2 linked regions of the Arabidopsis thaliana genome follow. The protein of the gene in region 1 purifies or fractionates together with the protein of each later gene. This does not show direct contact. Each region holds a gene or a part of one and is shown in the gene's direction. Other genes may lie near its edges.

The links. The genes of interacting proteins can lie anywhere in the genome.
Region 2: the proteins of RPT5B (region 1) and AT1G75990 fractionate together in Arabidopsis thaliana (co-fractionation; one large-scale study listed by BioGRID). This does not show direct contact.

The regions. Positions count from the first base shown.
Region 1 is NC_003070.9:2,935,971-2,941,122, reverse strand, and holds RPT5B (26S proteasome AAA-ATPase subunit RPT5B), read left to right. Parts: upstream 1-1,759; 5' UTR 1,760-1,864; coding exon 1,865-1,981; intron 1,982-2,325; coding exon 2,326-2,442; intron 2,443-2,681; coding exon 2,682-2,789; intron 2,790-2,907; coding exon 2,908-3,099; intron 3,100-3,197; coding exon 3,198-3,389; intron 3,390-3,485; coding exon 3,486-3,604; intron 3,605-3,681; coding exon 3,682-3,769; intron 3,770-3,850; coding exon 3,851-3,970; intron 3,971-4,150; coding exon 4,151-4,291; intron 4,292-4,370; coding exon 4,371-4,448; 3' UTR 4,449-4,595; downstream 4,596-5,152. Other genes in the region: AT1G09130 (ATP-dependent caseinolytic (Clp) protease/crotonase family protein), read left to right, coding at 69-165, 253-326, 547-600, 675-758, 971-1,051, 1,264-1,392; RBOHB (respiratory burst oxidase-like protein), read right to left, coding at 4,628-4,737, 4,827-5,152. UniProt on the Arabidopsis thaliana protein: The 26S proteasome is involved in the ATP-dependent degradation of ubiquitinated proteins. The regulatory (or ATPase) complex confers ATP dependency and substrate specificity to the 26S complex.
Region 2 is NC_003070.9:28,523,890-28,528,856, reverse strand, and holds AT1G75990 (PAM domain (PCI/PINT associated module) protein), read left to right. Parts: upstream 1-2,008; 5' UTR 2,009-2,138; coding exon 2,139-2,217; intron 2,218-2,312; coding exon 2,313-2,503; intron 2,504-2,615; coding exon 2,616-2,753; intron 2,754-2,840; coding exon 2,841-2,977; intron 2,978-3,067; coding exon 3,068-3,233; intron 3,234-3,400; coding exon 3,401-3,640; intron 3,641-3,721; coding exon 3,722-4,234; 3' UTR 4,235-4,453; downstream 4,454-4,967. Other genes in the region: AT1G76010 (Alba DNA/RNA-binding protein), read left to right, coding at 1-149, 243-352; AT1G75980 (Single hybrid motif superfamily protein), read left to right, coding at 4,555-4,795, 4,883-4,931. UniProt on the Arabidopsis thaliana protein: Acts as a regulatory subunit of the 26 proteasome which is involved in the ATP-dependent degradation of ubiquitinated proteins.

The DNA.
Region 1 (5,152 bases):
ACCGAGATAAACACTTTTTCGTCTCCACGGTATTTTTCATGTGAGCATGTTGGTTCTTATTTGTGCAGGTACATACAGTATGTGTGGGAGCAGCCATAGGTCAGGCCTGTCTATTACTTTCTGCGGGAACCAAGGGTAAACGGTTTATGATGCCACATGCCAAAGGTATAGACTTCGACTGCATTCTGGCCGCTTCTATGGCTCACCATTGATAATCAGAACCTCTCATACGTTTGATTCATTATGTCACAGCGATGATTCAGCAACCACGTGTACCTTCTTCTGGGTTGATGCCTGCCAGTGATGTCCTGATTCGGGCCAAAGAGGTTTGATGAATCGCTCTACACACTTAATATTCTGGAAATTTAAATTTGATCGAGATTTTCTCTTTCTGCTTTGCTTCTACCTACTTTCCTATATTATATCTCTGATAATTTGGACAGAAATTTCTCACTTAAGCATTTGGTTCAGAATTTCATGACCTAATTAGGTGAAGAATCTGAGTTTGATTACTTCATCTTCCTCATTCCTGTTATGCAATTGCAGGTCATTACAAATAGGGATATACTTGTGGAACTACTATCAAAGCATACTGGGAATGTGAGTGCGAAATATTTTCATAACTTTGTGGAGAAATTTGATAGCTGATTAAAACATTCTTATATGTCATATAGTCCGTGGAGACTGTAGCTAACGTAATGAGAAGGCCATATTACATGGATGCACCAAAAGCTAAAGAATTTGGAGTCATTGACAGGGTAAGTTTGGGCACTGTAATTTTTTGATGTTGCTTTTCATATGCACATACTAAAAGATTAAAGGTTACATATCGTCACCAAGCAAAGTAACCTTTCCAGTCAAGTTTCCCTCTCTTCTACCTTTTCCTGATGTTTGCCTGTGCGTAATGATGAATTTGTTTTCATACTTTTCCAAGTTAAAGCTTTAAAGATGGTCTCATAATCATTGGCAGATTCTTTGGCGCGGTCAAGAAAAGATTATTGCGGACGTGGTTCCTTCAGAGGAATTCGACAAGAATGCAGGGATTAAAAGCGTAGTATGAGTCTAGTCTTAAGTTTTCTTGGCCTAAATCATACTGTAAGTGACACGCGTAACTCTCCATTGCTACTCTAGGCATGAATCCATCTTATTCATGGAAATCTCTGATGAAGAAATACAAATGCATCTAACTTACCTGCAAATCATTAGAACGCACGCTTGTATTTACAATGATTTGTATTTTGCTTGAACTCTACTCATTTGCAGGCGTCATGGAGAAGAACAAATAGACTGACCAAAATCACATTGGCCGCAGACTGCCTTGTTTCAAATCACTTGGTAAATGTGAACATGCGATTAGGAGAATCATACTTAAAGGATCTTGAAATATTATGATAAAATTGTAATGTGTTTGTTCGTTAGCAATAGTAAATACAATCTTCAACTCTCTTCTTCACCCTTCCGATTTGAATATTGAACAGTTTCTTACTTGTTTCCATTTGGCTTCACTTCTTTTTTGGTCAGCTTTTAAGAAAACTACATCATCAATTTGACCAGATTGCTTAGCAATAACTTGATTTTAAAATAGATATAAGATACATTGTGAAAAAAATAAAAAGGATACAAAACCAAAAACGCTCCGATGCCGGGAATCGAACCCGGGTCTCCTGGGTGAAAGCCAGATATCCTAACCGCTGGACGACATCGGATTTGTTGTTGGGTATTGACTGTGATAATATTTAATACAATACATGTGTTATTAAATTAAAGCTGTTTCTTCGCCCAAAAGCCAAACTCTGTTTCCTATTTATGTCTTCTGAGATCTCTCGTAGACTCTTACAGTGATTAACTCAGGCTGCTAAGGGAGATGGCAACGGCGATGGCGGAGGATACGAGCTTCGAGGGAGACCAACTAGCTTCCATGACTACTGATGACATCGGTAGAGCTTCTCGTCTCTTAGCCAACGAGATTCGCATCCTCAAGGTCACCACCCTCTCTCTCTTCTCTCTATATTTTTAATCTGCTGGCTACTTGGAACTAGTATATTTCTTCATTCCAAGCTCACTATTACCTTAATTTGATTAGCGACACTTTGATTAGTTTTGAAGAAGATGGATGATGTCTGAGAGCAACGATAACTCTTGTTTCATATCACACTTTTTATCAGTCAAAGATATCGAAATTCACTCAAAGTACTTGTTTTTATAGTTAGATAATTATAGAATATGATTAGAAGACATTTATATTTACTGGTCTTTTGCTCATTGGATGAAATTCACCAGAATTTTTTGATGTCTTTTTCTCTCAAATACGTTGATTTGTTGTAGGAAGAATCGCAGAGGACAAACCTTGATTTGGAATCAGTGAAGGAGAAAATAAAGGAGAACCAGGAGAAGATTAAGCTTAACAAACAGCTTCCTTACTTAGTTGGCAATATCGTTGAGGTACTTTCACTGACTCTTCTCTTGGGGTGTTTCACATTCCTTATATGGGGCTTTTGGTTTTGGTATGTATAACATTCCTTTTTGTTGAGTGACACAATTGTACTATGCTTTTGATTACTAGTAGTGTTAGCCTGATGAATTCCTTGAATCTTTGCCACAGTAGTTCAGACATTTTACCATCAAATTTTTTTTTGTGTAATGATGGAATTAGGATTTGATCTATTATCCGTGCTTTCTAGATTCTTGAGATGAGTCCAGAGGATGATGCAGAGGAAGATGGAGCGAATATCGATCTGGACTCTCAGAGGAAGGGAAAGTGTGTCGTTCTAAAAACATCAACTCGTCAGGTGAAGTTTTAGACTCTTATATCACCGTTAGAGAGATTTTCAGAACTAGTGGGGAACAAACTCTGACTACTAGTGTAGTGTTTGTATAATGATCTCATGGGTTAATTATACTTTTCAGACCATCTTCCTCCCTGTTGTTGGACTTGTTGATCCAGATACATTGAAGCCTGGGGACTTAGTTGGAGTTAACAAAGATAGTTACTTGATTCTGGATACTTTACCTTCTGAGTATGATTCAAGAGTAAAAGCAATGGAGGTCGACGAAAAACCTACTGAAGACTACAATGATATAGGGGGACTAGAAAAACAGGCTAGTTGATGACTCTCCTGTTTCATGTTTCCTTAGTTTTTAGTATCTCTGGTACAATATTTGATGTTGGTGACTCTCCTGTTTTTGTAATTAAACAGATACAAGAACTTGTTGAAGCCATTGTGTTGCCAATGACTCATAAAGAGCAGTTCGAAAAGTTGGGTATCCGTCCACCAAAAGGTGTACTCTTGTATGGTCCTCCTGGAACCGGAAAGACGTTGATGGCCCGAGCTTGTGCAGCACAGACAAATGCAACTTTCCTCAAACTAGCAGGGCCACAACTTGTTCAGGTATGAAAACTAGAGTAAACGTAACTGATTTTGATCTTGTTCCTGTGATATTTTTTGAACCAAACGGAAAGTAACTTTTTTTAGACTTATGTATAGATGTTCATCGGAGATGGAGCAAAACTTGTCCGTGATGCTTTCCTGCTTGCAAAAGAGAAATCCCCTTGTATTATATTCATAGATGAGATTGACGCAATAGGGACAAAGCGTTTTGATAGGTACTCTATCTAGAGTCATGTCATAACTATTTTATTTTCTTTCTGATGACTAATGCTGACTTTTAATTGGCTTACAGCGAAGTTAGTGGAGACCGTGAGGTACAAAGGACAATGTTGGAGCTGCTCAACCAGCTTGATGGATTCAGCAGCGATGATCGCATTAAGGTTGTTACCCCTCATATTACCCCTGCAAATGTCTATTTATTTAGTGAAAGGCATGAAAAACTCATAATTTTACAAACTTAGGTTATTGCAGCGACAAATCGTGCTGATATACTAGATCCTGCCCTTATGCGTTCTGGTCGTTTGGATCGTAAAATCGAGTTTCCGCACCCCACTGAAGAAGCTAGAGGCAGGATCTTACAGGTTCTGTATCCTTTACTGCATCTTTTCTTTTTTCTTTCTTTATTTCTATGTCGTTTTAAAGCTAAAATTAGAGAGCTTCATGCACTTAGACAAGTCTTGCTGTGATTTTCTATGTATTCCGCGGATAACTTATCTTGGGTACTGTTTTGTTTTTGCATAATGTTGGCGATGGGGTTACAGATACATTCAAGGAAAATGAATGTGAATGCAGACGTCAATTTTGAAGAGCTTGCTCGGTCAACGGATGATTTCAATGGAGCTCAACTCAAAGCAGTGTGTGTTGAAGCGGGTATGCTTGCCCTGCGCCGGGATGCAACTGAGGTATGCATATATCTTTCGTCTTAGTGGTTGTAACTTTAGGATGTGGATGATATGGAGGAAATGGTAAATGTGTGTGCAGGTGAACCATGAGGATTTCAATGAAGGTATAATTCAAGTACAAGCCAAGAAGAAAGCAAGCTTGAATTACTACGCCTAAGTCCTCTTTTATGTACACTCTTCTTTCTCCTCTTTACATTATAGAAAACTTCAAGTTGTAGTCTCAACTTTTGAATCTAGAACCCCTTCAAAGTGTGGTTATAATTATAATAGATATCAGCTTGACATATTTTGCTTATTATTTTCTAATGATGGTCTGATGGATGAATAGAATCGAAACTAGAAATTTTCCTTGTGGAACTCAAACTTGGTCGTAGTTTTCCTAGAGAAATCTTGAGCCAGTCTCTTTAACTCTCCTATGATGCATGTATTACCACAGTAGAAAACCCCTACCAACAAAATAGAAAAAGGAAAATCAGTTACTTACTAGAAAGATTCTACAATAGCTATGGAATTGTTGTAATAGCTAGTGACATACCAACTCGTTGATTGACGTGGTTGACTGCGACGTGCTTGAAGACACTACGCCAATTGGGTCGAGCGAAATGGGTTCGGACCCGAGTGCCCGATACGATGTCAATGCCGCTCTTGGCGTGGTGCAATGACTGCAACATGGTGATTAGTGCTGACCTCGCATCTCCTTCCTCATACACGCTAGTGCAGTAATTATGTAGTTCAATCATCCCCTCACTATCATACTCAGCTACCTCGTTCATGACCTCACTGAACCATTCCAATGATCCTTGCTCTCTTGTTACCCAATAAAAATAAGCTCGTTTTGTGGCAACATAGTTTTTTATGTGT
Region 2 (4,967 bases), about 26 Mb from region 1:
CCGTGGTTATGATGGTCCTCCTCAGGGCCGTGGTGGTTATGATGGTCCTTCTCAAGGCCGTGGTGGTTATGATGGTCCTTCTCAGGGCCGTGGTGGTTATGATGGTCCTTCTCAGGGCCGTGGTGGTTATGATGGTCCTCAGGGTCGTGGTAAAATAAATTAAAACATTCTGTATTCTTTTACCTGGTTCTTGAACTGTAATTGTGTGAAGAAGCCATGAGTTTTGAATTGGTTTGATGCAGGGCGTGGACGTGGACGTGGAAGGGGAGGACGTGGAAGAGGAGGAGGACGTGGTGGTGATGGTGGTTTCAACAACAGATCAGATGGACCACCAGTCCAGGCAGCTGCTTGAGAGTGAGGTTTCTCTTACACAAACATAAAAAGAAGAAAAAAGCCCAAGTCGTTGGATGTTTTTTTTCTATCTCCTTGTTCTCTCACTTTCTTTCTATGTTTGCTTCTTCTGTCCATCAAGAAGACATGTTTGCCATAAGTGTATCTCATTCCCCTTCTTTTTTTTTTACTATCCATTGATTGACAGTGTTTTAGCTTGTGGTCTGTTTTGTTTAGAGTCGCTTAGGAATATATGTTCAATTTATTTTATGGTTGGTCGTCGTCTTGGGTTTTTGTTAGAGAAGAACTACTGAGGCATCCTCTTTTCTTTTCTTTTTTCCTCTGTTTTGTAGTTTTGTTTAGGTGAGAGTGAGACACAGTTTGGACAAATTACCTCTTTTCTTTGGTTATCAGTTTTAATGTGATGGAACAGTTGATTCTTTTATTTCCAACAAGTACCCTTGCAAAGTTGAATTCTTATATAACATTATAACGAAAATAACTCACAAATGGAAGCAGATTTACACAGAGAGAGAAAAAAAATGGAAGTAGAAAGCCAGAAACCATCGATTCTCGAATTTGGGTTGATCTTCAAAATTCTAATGAGACAGACACAACAAAGGAAAGGAAGCTCATAGACTCGTCGACACCGTATTAACAATAGATTTACTCGATAAAAAAATGTTAGCGCCGTTGCCGGGGATCGAACCCGGGTCACCCGCGTGACAGGCGGGAATACTTACCACTATACTACAACGACTTTGATGTTCTAATTAATGACATTAATAGTATTAACAAACAAGATAATATCTGCCTTCAAGGGAAAGAAAAAAATAAAATGGAAAAATATAATTGGGAAAAATGTTGTTTTATATACGAACTTTCAAAAAGTGGCCATTTTATACGTGAACTCTGACGTCGGCCAAAATAAATATGAAAAATACGTTGACCAGCCATTTTAACAGAAACAAAACGTTGACCTGGCCAAAATCCCGAGACGTTAACTCGCATTAACAGACCCAATTAACCCCGTTAACAGCACGTTAATAAACTCTGTTAAAGCCGAAACGGTGTCGTTTTGTTCTAAACGAAACAAAACAAAATCCCCAAATCGAAAACTCAAACCCTAAGTCTTCATCTTCCCCAAATCGATTTCTTATATCCAACTTCTCTCAATCTATCTTCTTTGAGCTTCAACTCCGACAGAAGACTCTGCTACAACAACAGCCGGCAAAGCTAGAACTCCACCATCAAACTCCATCTCCGGTTTCAGCTACTCGTCGTGGTGGAACAGGAGCAATGTCGACTTCGCCTTCTATTGCTAAGGCAATCACAACAAGATTAATCGAAGAACAAACACGATTTTACCAATGAGAGAATTAGGGATTTGGTTTGAGAGAATTAGGGATTGAGTTTTCGATTTGGGCATTTTGATTTGTTTCGTTAGGTTTGAAACGACGGCGTTTTGGTCTTAACAGAATTCATTAACGTTCTCTTAACGGGGTTAATCAGCGAGTTAACGTCTCGGGATTTTGGCGAGGTCAACATTTTGTTTCTGTTAAAATGGCTGGTCAACGTATTTTTCATGTTTATTTTGGCCGACGTCAGAGTTCACGTATAGAATAGCTACTTTTTGAAAGTTCGCGTATAAAACAACATTTTTCCCAAATATAATTTGGTAATTTCTGTCTAGGAAAAGAAAAAGGAAAACATAAGAGTACTTATGTGTGCGTTAAGCCCTGCTCTTTTCAAATCAATTTTTAATTTACCTTCGTCAAGAAGAAGACGACTTGAGATTTGCGAAAAAGATGACTCAGGACGTAGAGATGAAAGATAACCAAACCCCAACGCAATCCGTCGTCTCTGCTCCTACCTCCACGCTACAGAGTAAATCTCTATCTTATGCTTCAGTTTCTCTTAATCTCACATTGCTAGGTTTGTTTCAAAATTGAATTCGTTGTACTGCTTTTTTTTTTCTCCAGATTTGAAGGAGATTGCAGCTCTGATTGATACTGGATCTTATACAAAGGAAGTCCGTCGTATTGCTCGTGCTGTGCGTCTCACCGTTGGACTACGAAGGAAGCTCACGGGTTCCGTGATCTCTTCTTTCCTTGATTTCGCTTTGGTTCCTGGATCTGAAGCTCACACTCGTCTCTCTTCTTTTGTGCCGAAGGTATGTGTAGCTTCACTTGTCCACTTTGATTACGAGCTTATCTAGGATCTGTAATTAGATTCATGTATTAGTGTTTGCCCTTAATTTGATGGAATTTATAATATTGGTACAGAGTGATGAACATGACATGGAAGTTGATACAGCATCATCGAATTCCCAAGCTCCTCCTAAGCATCTACCTGCAGAGCTCGAGATTTACTGCTACTTCATTGTTCTTCTTTTTCTCATTGATCAGAAAAAGTACAACGAGGTTTACTTCTTCTCTATCTCTCTAACTGACATACTTTATTTATAAATCTTGCTGTGGTCTTCATTGTTTTACTTTCTTTGCTTTCAGGCCAAAGTTTGTTCTACCGCTAGCATTGCTCGCCTCAAAAGCGTAAACAGGAGAACCGTTGATGTCATTGCTTCCAAATTGTATTTTTACTACTCCTTAAGTTACGAGCTAACTAATGATCTTGCAGAGATACGTAGGTGAGTACAAGTTCACAGTCATCTTTCAACTTTTATCATATTAGTTCAACACTCAATTATCTTATTAACTTGTCTCTCTTTCTGTTGCAGTACTCTTCTTGCTCTTCACCATTCGGCCACACTGCGCCACGACGAATTGGGCCAGGAAACACTTTTGAATCTGTTGCTTCGCAATTATCTACACTACAACCTGTACGACCAAGCAGAGAAGTTGAGATCAAAAGCGCCTCGATTTGAGGCACACTCTAACCAACAGGTAACCCTTTCATACATTCTAGTTTCTAATTCTAAGTTAATTGTGATGCTTACTTATGCCAACCTCTCTGATGCTTACTAATGCCAACTTTTCACTGTGAATTTCTCCAAACTACATTCACATGTTTCAACTAGAAACGATACTCATCTCGTTATATAAATTTACAGTTTTGTAGGTACTTGTTTTACCTTGGCAAGATCAGGACGATTCAACTTGAGTACACCGATGCAAAAGAGAGTCTCCTCCAAGCTGCTAGGAAAGCACCTGTTGCATCTCTGGGATTCAGAATCCAGTGCAACAAGTGGGCTATCATAGTTCGGCTGTTGTTGGGTGAAATACCTGAACGATCTATCTTCACTCAGAAAGGAATGGAGAAGACTCTTAGGCCATATTTTGAGCTGACCAACGTGAGTTCAATCTTTTTTACATTTCTAACATATGCTTTAATTAAGGTTTTCTTGCTAATACTCTTGTTTAAATTTTGTAAGGCTGTGAGAATTGGTGACTTGGAGCTGTTCGGGAAAATCCAAGAGAAGTTTGCCAAAACATTTGCGGAAGACAGGACTCACAACCTCATAGTCAGACTCCGACACAACGTGATCAGAACAGGACTGCGCAACATCAGCATTTCCTACTCCAGAATCTCTCTACAGGATGTTGCTCAAAAGCTGAGACTGAACTCAGCGAACCCAGTGGCTGATGCAGAAAGCATCGTCGCTAAAGCCATTAGAGATGGAGCAATCGACGCAACCATCGACCACAAGAACGGTTGTATGGTCTCCAAGGAAACAGGAGACATCTACTCCACTAATGAACCACAGACTGCGTTTAACTCGAGGATTGCCTTCTGTTTGAATATGCACAATGAAGCGGTTAGAGCACTGAGGTTCCCGCCAAACACGCACAGGGAGAAAGAGAGCGAGGAGAAAAGAAGGGAGATGAAACAGCAAGAAGAGGAGCTCGCTAAATACATGGCTGAGGAAGACGATGATGATTTCTAGATTTGTTTCAAATTCTACTGTTTTTGTCTGTTAACACTTTTGTTATTTTGAATTATCTGACTTTTTCTTGTTATTATGCACATCAGTTCTTTTACTTTATGAAAAAACAAAATCTCAAACTTTATCACAAGTCCACATTGGGATCAAAATTCTGGTAAATAAATTCACTGAAGAAGTGAAGTTAGTAATATAGAAGAACATGAACATGATTCAAACCCAAGATCAGTAGATGGGCCTTTAGGCCCATTAGTTATGTAATTACAAATCGGCGAAGTAACTCCGATTGTTTTTTCGCCGTCAAAGGTTAAACAGTCGAAACAATGGAGATTCTGAAGCTTGATGTAGCGAAGTTTCCAGAAATTGAGGATACAATCGAATTAACTAACCCAAAGAGAAACGACGAAGTAGAAGATTGCGACGACCAACAGAAGCAGCAGCTAGCTACACAAGAAGATGAAGAGGAAGACGAATTGAGAAAGCTTCTGCTTTCAGATATTGGAGAACTTCCGATTTCTCCTCCTTCAGCTACACAAGTCAATTTTGTTTCTTACTTCATCACAGGTTCTCAGATTCACCTACTGTTTAGTGTTTTTCAAAACCCCTTTTGATAGTGTGAAGTGAATTAAACCCTTTTCAATGTTTTTGCAGATTTTACTAAATCGGGTCATGATCAATATATTTACCGTCACGCTAATGGGTATGTCAAAGATTGTTCCTTTTGCTGTTGAAATGA